Mus musculus: one gene and its partner. The protein of the gene in region 1 purifies or fractionates together with the protein of each later gene. This does not show direct contact. Links are inferred from orthologs where the notes say so. Each region holds a gene or a part of one and is shown in the gene's direction. Other genes may lie near its edges.

Region 1 (7,734 bases):
TTAGTAGCATCTAGCTCATCAAATGTCTTCAAAATGTTATATACTACAAGTAATCTGCTGTTAGCTTTACAAAGAATCAAACCAGAAGATTACATGTCACTGGGGCCTTCCTCTCACAGGACAATGTTCCCATGGGTTTGGGCCATGTAGGCTTGGGTTGAGTGTCCAGTGTCCTGGTAAATTGTGAGACAACTTCCTGCCAGTGTCTCTCTGCATGGCCAGGGAGGGCTGCAAATTCTGATGTTCTTGGAATCAGATGTCCTTTTCCTTTAGGATAAAATTCTGGGTCTTTTTTTGTTATACAGGGCATTGAAATGGCTGCTTTTATACACTTTAGCCAGAGCAGTTTATTTATTCTTTGGTCTTTAGGAAAATATTTATTATTTATTTATGCGTATTGTCTACGTGGATGTCTACGCACAGAAATGCAATTACCCATGAAAGCCAGAAGGTGTTGACTCCCTGGGGCTGGAGTTAGAGGTATCCTCAGGGTGCTGAGAGCCAAACTCCCATTCTTTGAAAGAATAGAAATTGCTTTTAACCACGGACTACATTTCTCTAGCCTGTAGCTTTGCTGAGACAAGGTTTCTCATAGCCTAGACTGGCCTCAAGTTCATTGTGTAGCAGAGCCTAGTCTTAAACTTCTAATCTTTCTGCCTCTACCTCCAAGTGCTGTAATTATAGCTGCATGCCACCATGTCCCAAGCCTATAGATGGGCTTTGAGGGCAATGACTCCTAAAATCGTGTGCCCCTGCATGTGCAGGTGGGTTTTCCCATGATGCTTTGTTTCTACTATCTTCTCCCTGGGATCCATGACCCTGGTCTGGGATGGCTCTCTGCCCCTGTTGGTTGGGTGAGCTCCTCTTCTAACTAGATACCACACAGAGCTGGGACAACCCTTCTCTTCCCACAGTCTAGCACCATTATCGATGACCACTCCCTGGACAGGGAGGGTTGGGAAGACAAGGTTAGTACAAGATTTCCCGTCCCAGAGCGGCCTAGCCCTGCCTTTGGCCTGTTAGAACTTCCCAGTGTCCTTCAGTGCATGCAGGGTAGAATGTAGGACCCTTGTTAGGGATGGTCTCTGTGACTCCATGGCACAAACAGGTACAAATGCTTCTAGCCAAGTGATGCCCTTACATTCCAGGAGACAGGAATGTGTGTAGTCTGCTTCTTGCACAGAGCAGTAGGGCTGGGTGAATGTTTCCTCCCTTCCTAACGTCTTTTCTTGTCTCATTGACAGCGCTACTAGGCCTTTGAGCTATGACAAAGACAACTGTGATGTACAATTCCACCCAGAGAACTGCACCTACAGTGTGGTGGATCGGAAGAACCCAGGGAAGACCTGTCGAGTTGACAGCTGGACTATGTAAATGTGCTTCGTGTGGGCCCAAAAGTGGAGTAACATTTGAACCTTGTATGATTTAAATTTACCAATCATAAGCTTGCAAGGAGGTGACCTGTAATCCCAGCACTCAGAAGGCAGAGGCAGCATATCTTGAAAAACTCAAATAAATAAAAAAACAAACAAGTAAACAAGTAAACAAGTTTGCCAACCATATTTGTATTAACTTAATGCATGTTATACAACCAAACAAATCAACCCAACAATACCAGGTACCAGTTACAGCATCTTTCCTGAGCTCCAACAGGTGTCATGCATGTGTGCTTTCCTATGGGGCCCACATCCATTTCCACCACTTCTACAAATAAGGCTCTTCTGCCTGCATCTTGTTTCTGGTTTAGGCTAGAGAAGTGGTTCAGTGGTTAAGAGCCCCGAAGCTCTTCCAGAGGTTCTGAGTTCCCAGCAACCACATGGTGGCTCAGAACCATCTGTTTCTGCTTTACAATGGAAAAAAGCATGTGTGTTCATGATGAAACCAGACTTCTTCTTTGTCCCTGGTACTCTCATTTATCCTTCCTTCCAGTTACTTAGGTACCCCCTCTTTATCGAGTCCCCACATCACACTGTGTTTGCATAAGGTTAGAACAGGTTAGAGATACTGGAGAAGGGGCTCTCTAGACCTCACGCAGTCTGACAGGAAACTCAGAAGCCGGACTTCTGTGGGTGGTGGGGCCTAGCTCTAGGGTCAGTTAGGTGTGGCATACAGACCAGCTAAAATACACTGACTTGAAACTGTAACATTAATTCTGACATTTATTTACTCAATATTTAAAAAAAAATGTAGCATGTTTTTCCTAAGTTATAAAGCCCATCAGCCTTGTCTTAGTCACTGTTTTATTGCTGTGAAGAGACACCATGACCATGGCAACTCTTACAAAAGGAAGCATTTGCCTGGGCCATCTTTACCATTTCAGAGGCTTTGTCCATTATCAGCATGGCATAAAGCAGGGTGGCCTGCAGGCAGAAGTAGCTCAGAGTACTACATCCAGATCCACATGCAGCAGAAAGAAAGAGTGAGCCACTAAGCCTGGCTTGGACTTCTGAAGCCTCAAAGCCAACCCCCAGTGACATACTTCCTCCCCCAAAGCCACACCCACCCCAACAAGGACACTCACTCTAAGTAGAGCCATCTTCTCATCAGTAAGCATTCAAACACGTGAGCCCGAGAGGGCCATTCTTACTCAAACCACCACAAACCCCAGAGGAAAAAAAGAGTTTATTTTCTTTATTTGCATGACTCTTTTTTGCCTGCATATATACATCTGTACCGTGTGCACGCCTGGTGCCCTTGGAGGTCAGAAGGCACTGGAACCAGGAGGTATGGGTGGTTGTGAGCCATCCTGTAGGTGGCTGGGAACCAAAACTGGGTCCTCTGCAAGAACAGGAAGTGCTTTTTTTTTTTTTTTTCAAGACAGGGTTTCTCTGTGTAGCCCTGGCTGTCCTGGAACTCACTCTGTAGACCAGGCTGTCCTCGAACTCAGAAATCCGCCTGCCTCTGCCTCTGCCTCCGGAGTGCTGGGATTAGAGACTTACTGATAGGCACGAAAATGATCCAGACTAAGGGCAGGGAGTGTTACTGCATGCCTCCACGTTGAGCTCTAAGAAGACTTTGCGCAGGCGCGGAAGGAAATCTCGCGAGACTGTCAGAACACTACCGAGAAGCGTGGTAGGGAGGCCATCCTATCGCGAGAACTCTGTCTTCAGGGTCCGGATCCTTCCACGGCTAAGTGTCTGGGTCGGTCTAAGGTCCGCTCGGATCACCGGAAGGAGCGCTGCCAGCCGGTAAGGACGAGAGTGGCCGGCGGGCGCGCTTCCTCTTCTGCCCTGTGCCCTTCTTCGCTCCGGCCTGTGGCCTGTCCTGCCCTCCCCTCCATTCTTCCCGACCCTCGGGTCCGGGACCACCATCCCACCTGCCTGCACGCGGGGCCCAATGGCCCTTCCCTTCCCCAGGTCACGTCTGCTGTGATCGCCTCTCCAGTCCCCGCGTCGCGCCAGGCCAGAGCTCCTCTCCCTCCCCTCGTCCCGACGCTACCACTTTTCCTTCATGCCCAAGCGCTGGATCTGTCTTCTCTCCTCTGTCCTGTCGACATGTTTCGTTCCTGGGCCACGATTGCAGCCTGAATGCTTCTCTTCCATCCCTTTCCCTACATTGCCCTGACTGTCCTCTGGGTTTATAGCGGTGACAGCCCTGTTTCTCTGGTCCCAGGCGGGCCTGGTTTCCATTACTGACCCAGTGCACATTTGCCCCTATTCCTAGTGGTTTGGCAAGGTGGAATGACTTCTGGAGGCCCACTATCCGTTTCCTTCTCCCAGCAGTCCCTTTAAATCGTTTGATTCGTCCCTTCAGCTGATGAGAAGAGAGAGCTTGCAGAATCATTAATTCATAGCTCGGGCGTTCATTTGCTATATGCTTAGGGTACTGAGGATATAGTAATGTAAAGAAGTGGACGTGCTCCCGGCCCTGATGTGACTTAGCCCTTGCGGTGGGAACAGTATGGGTTTAAGTGCTACAGGCTGGAACTTGGGAGGATGGCTCAAGAATGACAAGTCAGAGGGGCTGGAGTTATCTGACCCTCCTGCACACAGCTCTCCTGCTAGTGTTGTTTAGTAGGTAAGGGCCTGCCACCCTGGCGTCCTTTTGGAAGGACTTGACTTTCCACCCACTTGGTAATTTGGAGTATGGTCATAGACCTTTTGAGTTACTTCCCTGGGTGTGTATGGGACAGGTAAGGCTGTTGGTTCTCCGTTAGCATCCCACTGTGATGTTTCTGAACTTTTAAAGTACATTAGAACATTGGAAAGAATTTCATCCTGTGTGACAAACAGGAGACTAATTTGTACTGCTCAGCAGGTCGCTTGATTTGCTCTGTGGATTTTTTTGTTTGTTTAAGAAGAGTGTCAGATCCCCTTACAAGCCATTGTGAGTCACCTGATGTGGGCCCTAAGAACTGAACTCTGGCCCTTTGATAACCACTGGGCCATCTCTCCAGCCTGGTTTGTTTAGTTTGCTTGAGACTGGCTGCAGGGATCCTGTTGGCTCTGCTGGGTTTACAGACGTACGTGCCACCACACCCAGGTGATTTGCTCTTTGCAAGATTTACTCGCCCGAAGAATTGTTCTGCTAAGTGAGATAATGGGTAGCTGCTGGCACTAACAGTCCCTGCATTTAGATCTCTTTTTTCTTTTTTTTTTACCTCCTCCCTTGGGTCTTTGAGCCTTTCGGAAAATAACCTAGACATTTAAAGTTTTCAGATTGAAGTTTGATGATGACGAACGTGTCTGTCTCTACAGTTACGTTATTCTTTTGAGGAAAATTACCGAACTACAGATGAACTAAGATGCTTCTTAAAGCATCTTGTATCTAGTTTTAGAAGTTAACTTGACTCCCATGGCCAGTTTATGAAAGCAGTGCAGGTTGCTTGTGTCCCAGGGATCTGTATGTAGGTCTTATAGAACTCTGGGTGTCCCGGCACACACCCCTTCTGCACTTGAGAGTCTCTCAGCTAGCTTTCTGGGCCTTTGCCCACACAGTGTTAACACACCGGTCAGTACTTATAGCAACTCACTGAGCCTGTTAGCCACCTTTTTTTACCTGTGCTTCTTATTTCAGAAATCTATTGTTGTCTGTGAATCAGTGGCACAAACGTTCTGCTAGATGGCAGATTCACCATCGTCTCCACAGGAACAACACCACTGTGCCTTTCTGTTCAAGACCTTAAATACTTGAATGACTACATAAACCTTAAACGGCCCCTTCAAAATACCTGGTGCAGATGAGGGGTTTAGACTCATACTAGATCATAGCCAAAAGGCTAAGAGGCAACCAGACTCAGACTTTTGGGTGTAGAAGCCTGTGACTACAGGTATCCTATTTAACCCTGTTAAGCCTATAAGAGTTGCTAAGTTGAGCTCTTCTGCTCTAGGTGTGTCACCAGTGGTACTCTTGTTTCTATGCTTGTCTCTTAGAGGGGCTGTCAGTTGTCCTCAGCTTGCCTTCTGTGACTGTTAAATCTAACACTTCAGACATCATTTGTAAGCTTATCGTCTGTATACCTGAATTAGATAGATTCACAGGCAAGTGAGCTAAATAATTACTGTGTAGGTATTCTGTTTTTAGCTAGCATGAACCACTCATCAGGTGCTCATGACTGTCTTCCTCCAGGTTGGCTTTGCTTGGCTTGATTGCGCGGTAGAATCAACATGTTTTTCTGGGGGACCAGGATTGCACTTGGGGCTTTTGAGCTTGTAGTTCCTCCCATTTGGCATTGCCTTGATTGCCCTACAGACCGAGCAGTTTTGGTTTAGTGTTGAGTGAGTAGGTTAAATGGGCTTAGCTTGTGTCAGTAAGTATAGCATAGTCTTTTAATACGTGGACAATTACAGCTTCCAAAATAATTCAGGTATGTTTTGAGTTTTACTTTAGCTATATTGCTAGTCCCTCAGGCAATTTCTGTGGTACTTACTGCAAAATCTGAGGGGGGAAATGTTGAGTTGGCTGTAAATACAGTGCACATTTTAACCAACAAGCCCATTGTTATTTTGAGTTTGTGGAACTAAGATTTTTGGGTCTGGCAGTTTTAAAAACTGCCTTTCTCAGCACTCATGCTAGGATTGTGATTTCTGTGGAGACAACCCTCATCAGTTCTGTATTGTTTGAAAACAAGAAATTAAGTTTTTCTGGGTGCTGTTGCAAGGGTTCTGGAAGTCCAGAAGGTCTACCAAGAGGCAGAATACTGAGTTCAAGACCGGCTTGAACTACAGGAAACTGTCAGAAACTAAGGGCTAGGGCGTGGCTTAGTTAAAGTGTTGTCTAGCATATACAAAGCTCAGCGTTGTACCTCCAATATTGGGGGGAAAATGTGTTGGAAACATTGTCCTCTTCTAAATTACTTTCCTAAATTAATACTACAGGTTTTAAGGGGACAGCATCAAGTTGATTATGTTTATAACACAAAGATTTATTTTGCAGCTGCTCTGAATTTGACCATTAACACATTATTTATTCATCCATTAATAAAAGATGTATTAAAGCACAGGTTGGTTCAAGACCAAGCATTGGTACAAGTGCTGCGGGTCCTTTTCTTATTTAGGCCAACTCTGTTGCACATACAGCACGCGGGGAAGGTTGTTAGTGCCAAGGTACAGATGATCCCAAGCTGTGTGTATAGTGCTGTGTGTTCTAGCTGGGAGAGCCTTCAGGGTAAGAAAGCAGGCCTGACAAGAGAGGCATGTATTCAAGCATTGCTTCTCAACCTGTGGGTCTTGACCCTTCGAGGCGTCAATGACCCTTTTGTAAGGGTCACTTTAGAGCATCAGAAAACAGATATTTATGTTATGATTCATAACAGTAGCGAAATTAGTTACGAAATAGCAATAAATAATTTTATGGTAGGAGGTTGAGAACCACTGTGTTAGCGGGTTCTTACTGGAAACCTGTATAGATAGTAGGCACAAGAGGGCAGCATGACAGTTCTATTGCCTGGTAATATTGAAGAATCGTGTATTTGACCAGGAAAGGCTTTCTATTGCTTATAACTTGAAAAGCAGACGGCTAGAAGGGACTAACGTGGCATGCTGGCAGAAAGAACTTGGAGAACCAAGCTGGACAAGACAGGGTGGAAAGAGGGACTTCTTAGTTTACTAAAATGGAGATGTCAAGACTCAGACTAGCTGTATTTCCCTTCCCCTGGTATTTTTGGACAGGGTCTTGGTGTATATAGGTGGCTTTGAACTCACTAGCCCAGTATGGGAAGGGTGGTTTTCCTGCTGTAGCCTGCTGGCATTACCTTGCTTAAATGTACCACTGACATGAAGTACAGAGAGCTGTACATTTTTCATTCATTTAATCTTTGTATCTTCACCAAATGTGCTATCCAAACAGGATATCTGGAACTAGCTGTTTCTGTCTTCCTTTTGTAATGAGTGTATGACTTGGGATCTCAAACTGCGTTTCAGGGTAAAGGAGGTGATGCTGATCTGGGATGTTTGAGTCTTCTCTCATGGTTTTGCTTTACTCTTAATGTCCACAAAGTCACTTTATATGTATAGGAAATAGAAAATAAGTGTCTGATGGGGCTCATACCTGTAATCCTAAGTACCTCCAGAGTGCTGAGTCAGCTCACAGGCCCTTCCCTCCACTCTGTAAGGCTGGAGGGATTCTGACCACACCTCAGGAAAGAATGCTCTAATTAGTCTGAGTGAAGCCAAGTTAATGAGTTTATTAAGTAGAGATAAGAGATGTCCACCCTTCTGTTCTGGCAGTAGACATCAAAGGCATAGGTGAAGGCGTCTTCAGAGTTCTGCACGTACTTGTCTTTACCATGATTTA
Region 2 (7,354 bases), on another chromosome or scaffold:
AGATGGAGGGAGGGAGGGAGGGAGGGAGGGAGGGAGGGAGGGAGGGAGGGAGGGAGGGAGGGAGGGAGGAGGCCACCGGAACTGGAGCAGACTCCTAGATGCTGGATTACCAGAGGTGCCAGAAGGGAAGAGGAAGCCATTTTAAGGGGACTTGGTCTTTTGTTCCACCCTCAATCCCCCAGTCTGAGATTCTGCCACTCAAATTTGTGTACCTCTCTCCTTTCCTTGTCCCCTGTGGCTTCCGGGTTTTATCTTTTTCCACCTTTACAGCCTTGTCCAGGCCTGTCGGGTTGAAGGCCAGAGGTCAGGTTCTGGAGCACTGTGGTTAATGAGTAACTCTGACCCCCAAATCAACAGACCACCGCAGACGTCAAGTCAGGAGAAAGATACGTGTAGGCTAGCCACTCCAGAGCCGTACAGCTGCCTGACCACACAGGGAAAACAGACCACAAGCCCCTTAGCCGGGGGACTTCTGGCTGTCAGCCCGGGTGTGGCCTGCCGCCCGCCCCACTGCCTAGCTGAGCTCAGCGTGACTCAGCAGAACTGGCCTTGCTACCCCTTCCACTAAGGGCCTCAGCAGCACATTCTTCCTGCTCCGCGTGGCTCCCTTGACCCATCTTACTGTTTCTTCCTTTAGCCCCTTTTCATGATTGGGCTCGTTTCCCTTTGCTCTCTTCCCAGGCTTCTGAGATTAGACCCTGGTATGAGCCCGTCCTGTCCTCAAAAGTCCAGTTGGGCCTTGCATGCCCCAACTGTTCTGCGTAAGACTGACTGTCTGTTTCTGGGTCCTGAGTTCTTGCTCTCCCTAACTCTCGGGCCTTTTGATTCCAAAAGAGCAACCTGCAAGGAGGCTTCTGGACCAAACTCCAGGAAGGAGCCCAGCAATTCTCCAAGCGCCATCATGCGTGTCTGTTTCTAGAAAGACAGGTTCACTGACACAGACCCAGACAGACAGGCTGACCAGAACTCCAAAGTCCTGTCTGGGCCTCCACATGTCACCTTCCAGAGCACCCGAGGGAGGTGCACACACGGTAACCCAAGGCTCTCTGCCCACTCCAAGCCCTCAAAGGGCTTCACGACCTCCTGGGTTACAGAAAACAGAAAAACAAGCAAACAATCTTAGTTCCTATGGTGAACCTAAAACCCTATACTTCTGGGCATCCCTTCCATTCCCTCAAGGAGATCTCTAGAATCTTTGGAATACCAGACTTCCTCATGACGTGACATATCCCTTCATTGTGTGCAATTGGACATATGGAGGTTCCCTTTGCATTTACAGACATTACCCCACACTCAGCCCATCCCCAGATCCATGTTCTCAGGCCCCAAAATTCTCTTTTGTGAGACACCCAGAAAAGGACCTCGAAGTCATCCCCTCCCCAGGGTCTCAGTGACCCGGAGCCCAGAACCCTGCGACCCCTCCAGGTTGCGCCTCCGGATCCGGACCACCGCCCCTCCCCCAAGCCTCCATTTCACAAGGCCTCGCGCTCCAGTCCCGTGACTTCATCTCATGGGACTGGGTGGGTGGGGAGCGAGGTTCCCCTCAGCTCCGGATTGGTCAAGTATACTTTTCCGTCTCCGCCTCACGCCACCGCCGATTGGTTAGTCTCGGGCCTGGGGCACCCCTCCCTCCGGAGGGTCAACATGCTATAAAAGGAGCGCTCCTTGCCCGGGACTTAGAGCAGCGCCTTGGAGGTCCCGTGGATCTGTGTCTTGCTTCAACAGTGTTTGAACGGAACAGACCCGGGGATTCCCACTGTACTCGCTTCCAGCCGCCTTTACAAGTCTCTCCAGTCGCAGCCTCCGGGACCATCTCCTCGCTGCCTTCAGCTCCTAGGACCAGTCTGCACCGTCTCTTCGCGGTTAGCTCCTACTCCGGATCAGCCATGACCTCTCAGATTCGTCAGAATTATTCCACCGAGGTGGAAGCTGCCGTGAACCGCCTGGTCAACTTGCACCTGCGGGCCTCCTACACCTACCTCTCTCTGGTGAGCAGCTCGGGGTTGCCTTCTGAACGGGGGGGGGGGGGGGGGGTCCATCACACCCACCCTCCTGCGCATGCGCGGGCCTTCTTTGTTCCATGCAGGGCAGAGACTGTGCTCCGACCTCTCCCTCTCCCTGCGCGCTGTGTACATAGTAGTTTTGTCTGACTGGAACTCGCTGGGCAGACCGGGCTGCCCTCGAAATCTCACACGTACTGCCTCTACCTCTTGAGTGTTGCGATTGAAGTTTACAGTGTGAGCCGAGCCACCGCGTTCCGTTAACTCGTATTTGTAACCTCCCGCAGGGCTTCTTTTTTGATCGGGATGACGTGGCTCTGGAGGGCGTAGGCCACTTCTTCCGCGAATTGGCCGAGGAGAAGCGCGAGGGCGCGGAGCGTCTCCTCGAGTTTCAGAACGATCGCGGGGGCCGTGCACTCTTCCAGGATGTGCAGGTAAGAAGCGGGGGTATTGGGCACTACCGAGCATGTGCGTTTACTTGCCATCCCCATAGTTTGGGCATCCGGATAGACGTCTTGGAAGGGAGTGGTGGCAGGACTAGTGTAGACAATAGGAGTATGTAGAGCAACTAAACCCACCAGGATGTCAGAAACTGGAAAATGGGGGTAATTACAGAATACAGATGAGGACTGCTGGGCTGGGGAGAGGCGGTGTCTCTCTAGCTAGCATGGAAATCACAATGTAGACCAGGTTGCCTCCTATCAAGAGATCCTCCTGTCTTCTCGCCCAGTCTCTCAGTGGTGGGATTAAAGACAGTATCCCATTATTTTTCCCCACTGTGCCCACTTTTCCTGTGCAGTCAGTTTTATATTGGCTGGGTGAAGGATGTAATCTAGGCTTGATATTCTTGTGTGCAGAAGCCATCTCAAGATGAATGGGGTAAAACCCAGGAGGCCATGGAAGCTGCCTTGGCCATGGAGAAGAACCTGAATCAGGCCCTCTTGGATCTGCATGCCCTGGGTTCTGCCCGCGCGGACCCTCATGTAAGTACCTTGCTAATCATTTCTTCCCTTCTCTGACAAAACCTAGACTGTTGTGTGTTGGCTTTCAGCTCCCAATAATTTAATCCTCCTGCCTCCCGAGTGCAGATTGCAGAAGCACCACACACAGTACTGAGGACACACCTACCTACCTACCTACCTGCCCTTGAGGGCAGGATTTTTTTTTTTTAAAGCTTCCTGCTCACACCTGTCTCTTAGAACTCGGTGTCTGATGTCTCTTCCTTCCTTTACAGCTCTGTGACTTCCTGGAAAGCCACTATCTGGATAAGGAGGTGAAACTCATCAAGAAGATGGGCAACCATCTGACCAACCTCCGCAGGGTGGCGGGGCCACAACCAGCGCAGACTGGCGCGCCCCAGGGGTCTCTGGGCGAGTATCTCTTTGAGCGCCTCACTCTCAAGCACGACTAGGAGGCCTCTGTACCTTCCAAGGGGCTCCCCCCTCTGCTCTGCACCAGCCCGCCCTGGGACCTCCACCTGAATGAACCTCTCAAGCCACTAGGCAGCTTTGTAACCGCCCTGGAGCCTCTGTCAAGTCTTGGACCAAGTAAAAATAAAGCTTTTTGAGACAGCAGCTGGTGTTTTTTCTATATATGTGGGAGGGGTGCACGAGAAAGAAGAGGTTGGCTGTATGTACTCCTGTTTTTTGTGGGAACCCACATGTGATAACTTACAGCGATCTCTGTGTGGTAGTATCTGCCTTTTCATGTGGCAAATCCAGGTCGTAGGAGTCTGTAGCCTGTAGCAGTTTGCCAGTCCTTGGTTTATGTTACTGTGCAGGGAAGTGAAAAGGCTTAAACATCCAAGTTCAGAAATGAGTTAAACATACAAGTAGAAGGCCAGGAGGTGAGCAAGCTGAGCCCTGGGTGCTGGCTGAGCGAGGGTGGGGAGCCAGGGTGTCTTGCTGGATTCCGAACTAGATGCTGGGCCCATCAAAAAGAGGATGTGAAACTTGGGACCATTGCCCAAATGGGAACTAAACCATTGCAAAGGGGTTAGAAACATGGGAAGTTGGTGGGGTGGGGGGTGGAACACCGGACAATACTGCTGTGTCAGCTCACACTGGTTAAAACAAGTCCAAGGGTCGTATGAAGCCACATGATAGGCCCTTGGCTCAGTATTATGCCATGGCTCTGGGGAAGCAGTCATGTGGACAGGAAGATGACCCAGCACTACAGGTTTCTTCTAGTCAGGCCACTCCACCCCTAAAAGCATGAGATTGATAACGGGAGGGTTGGGGGTTAGAGCAGTAACTCCAGTCATGCACAGGTCACTGAGGCTAAGCAGGGAGAACCTGCTAAAGGGATTCTGGCAGCGATGTCCACGTGGGAAACAGCATTGAGAAGCAGGAACAAAGTCCTGCGGCTGGAATCCAGTTTCTCACTGTGTTGCGGGGACATTCTGCTTAGGGACATCTGTCCCGGGCTTTTCACTTTTTCAGGCTAGATCTCACCAATTGCTCAAGCTGGCCCCAGAAGCTCTAGTCCATGTAAGCTTTGAGCTTTGGGTCCTTTGACCTGTGCATTTGTGATTTCCCCAAGGGTCCCCCATGTCGGCCACCGTCTACCCAAGGTCACTGGGGCCAGTGTTTGCCACTTGGATCTCAAATCTAAGCAGTCAGATGTACCTTTCCTAACAACAGCACGGGGACCTCAGAACAGTAACCCAGATCTGCACAGAGTAGAAGTCTATGGAGCTCGTAAGAGCAGAACCAAAATCTGGGGGAAGCTGGCACTCCTGGTAATGCCAGCTCTTGAGAGGCTGAGATAGGACTGCTGTGAATTTGAACCATCTGGGGGGGGGGGGGCAAGGCAAGATCCTATCTGTAAAAACTAAAATACAGGACTGGGGAAGCAAGAGAGACCCACCACACCACAAGAGCTTATGTCCAGCCACAGTTGGCATTCTTAAATACAGGTGTATTTTCTTTTTTTTTTTTTCATCTCTAGACACACTCCAATCACACACCTTCTGCCCTCCCCCTCCCAAATGCAAACCAAAGGCACTGGGCCAGACACAGCACACGTGAGGAGGGGCCCGCCCATTCACTGAAGCTTGCAGGCAGAAAGGCCTCGAGGTACATGTGGGGCTTCAAGAAGCCGGTGGGCTCGGTTTTGTATCAGGAAAGGGGACCGGGGTGCAGCACAGTGACAAAAGACTCCTGATTCAGCCACTGGGACCCAGAACCCAGTGGTTTCACAGTGGGCTGAGCACTTGTGGGGTTGACAGACATTCTGCCCTCAATGGAGGCATTCCCTAGAGGGGACACTGGACCAAGGAAAAGAAGGTCTGGTCCAGAAAAAAGGCAGAAAGGTGTCTGGTCCAACTCCGCATGCTCCTTTGAAGAACACACCCAGGGAGGCCAACCTTGCAGCATGTCCCAGCATCGCAGTCGTGGGTTGAAATGGAGGACCGTGAGCATTCCACCACCTTTACTTTGCTTTTGAGACAGTGTCTCATGTTGCCCAGTTTGGCCTTGAACTCCCTATGTAGCAGAGGATGATGGCCTTTAACTCTTGATCCGTCTACCTCTACCTACCGAGTGCTGGGATTACAGATGTGTATCACCGCACCAGGTTTATGAGGTTCTAGAGTTAGATCCCAGGGCTTCGGGCATGCTAGACAAGCAATCTGTCGACAGAGCTACTGAGCTACCTTGCAGGCTGATTTTCAATTATGTTAATCCCTGAAATGTCCTAACTCTGAACTTGGCTGATTCGGGAAGCCACACAGAATCCAACATGAGGTGGTCCCAGAGGCAGGCCTGAGCAAAGCATACTCTGTATGATTATAGGATCAAACGAAGAAGCCACAGCCTGGAAGCCAATAAACCAGGTGTCCTAAAACCTCTGGCATTGAAAAACAATGGCAGATGCCTGGCCTCTGGGACCCAGTCTAAGCCTGGAGACTCCAGATCAGTGCACAAAGAATGCATCCTGCAATCCAAGAAAGGCACGGCGGCGTGGAGTGCGGGAACTCCAAGATTGGAGCTCAAGGGCTGGAGTGTCTGAAACAGAGGTTAGGCTATGGACCACACTGGGTAGGGGTCCCACTCAAGAGTCTGGAGTGGGGTTCAGGCACCCTCCCATCTGCATAGGCCCTCTGCGAGAGGAGCACTGGACAGGCAGGGAATGGGATGGGGGTGGGAGCTTAGTTGCGCTCCTCACCCAGGGAACTGGTAGGACTCAGGGGCTCAGTGGGTGTGCTGAGTGAGCTGGAGGGCCCAGTGTCCACCGAGTTGCTTCTCTTGCTGCCACCTGTGGAGGAGGAACAGGAGGCCCTGCGTGGCCACTCAGGTGCCCGGATGTTGCGGCGGTCCTTGGCAGCCTCCTCTTCCTCATCATAACGCTCACTGTCTTCCCCCAGGGGTCCATCCCGTGGCTCTTCCTCATCCTCACTCTGGTGTGGGCTGGAGTGTCGAGACAGTGAGGGCGACGGCGGGACGGAGGCTGGTCGTGGGTACCGGTACCCCTGGGTCTGCATACCCAGAGCAGGCACAAACCAAAATGAATGGGTGCCATTTAAGTCCCTAGAGGTGTCCACTAACTGTCAACCCCAAACCAGCCTGCCCCAGCCCTTCACTCCTGGCCCAGCGTCGATCCCGGCTCCACTTACCGCATCTACCTCATGGGGTTCATAGGTGAAGTGGTCTGGAAAGGCCTTGGCCAGAGCCATGTGGCGCGCAGACATGTAGTACTAGACAGGGAGGGCAGACAGCGTCAAGGACAGAGGCTACACACCTGGCTTCAGGCAGATAAACCCCCAGCACTTTTTTGTTTGTTTGTTTGTTTGTCTGGTTTGCTTTTTGAGAGTTTCTTTGTGTAAGTCCTGGCTGTCATAGAACTCTGTAGATCAGGCTGACCTCAAAATCACAGAGATCTGCCTGCCTCTGCCTCCCCAGTGCTTGGGATTTATTCAAGGCCATCAATGTCCAGCCACATTTTTTCTACACAAGCCCAGCCACACACCCCTCATTACTGGTGGACACGAGGCAGGGTCTCTACCACTGAACCACTTCTCTGGTGGATTATAGTTAAGGGTCTAAAACCTAAAGGCACGCCCAGCTCCCCTGCTCCACCACTGAGCCATGCTCTCCACCCGTCACTGCTGGAGTCCCCAGCAATCTTCACTTGGTAACACTGGTGACTTTCCTGCCTCATCCTTCCAAGTAGCTGGATGACAAACCTGGGCTGGTGGGTACCGATGGCCACACCTTCTTGTATTTTCTGTTTTGCGTTGGGAATGTTACTACGTGTCCCCTAGCTGGCTTTGAACTTTGAGCCAGGCTCCAATTGCTATACCTTTATACAGATGAGCACACTGGGCAAAGTTATCTCATCTCTCCTATGCAAAT

What was found.
Region 2: the proteins of Ncoa4 (region 1) and Ftl1 purify together in Homo sapiens (co-immunoprecipitation; 3 studies listed by BioGRID and IntAct, counting the BioPlex papers as one, with this or other methods). This does not show direct contact. The link is inferred for Mus musculus from reciprocal best matches to the Homo sapiens genes NCOA4 and FTL.

What each region holds. Positions count from the first base shown.
Region 1 is NC_000080.6:32,156,823-32,164,556, forward strand, and holds the start of Ncoa4 (nuclear receptor coactivator 4), read left to right. Parts: upstream 1-3,064; 5' UTR 3,065-3,188; intron 3,189-7,734. Other genes in the region: Msmb (beta-microseminoprotein), read left to right, coding at 1,245-1,374. UniProt on the Homo sapiens protein: Cargo receptor for the autophagic turnover of the iron-binding ferritin complex, playing a central role in iron homeostasis. Acts as an adapter for delivery of ferritin to lysosomes and autophagic degradation of ferritin, a process named ferritinophagy.
Region 2 is NC_000073.6:45,454,164-45,461,517, reverse strand, and holds Ftl1 (ferritin light chain 1), read left to right. Parts: upstream 1-1,631; 5' UTR 1,632-1,886; coding exon 1,887-1,988; intron 1,989-2,287; coding exon 2,288-2,434; intron 2,435-2,857; coding exon 2,858-2,983; intron 2,984-3,234; coding exon 3,235-3,411; 3' UTR 3,412-3,574; downstream 3,575-7,354.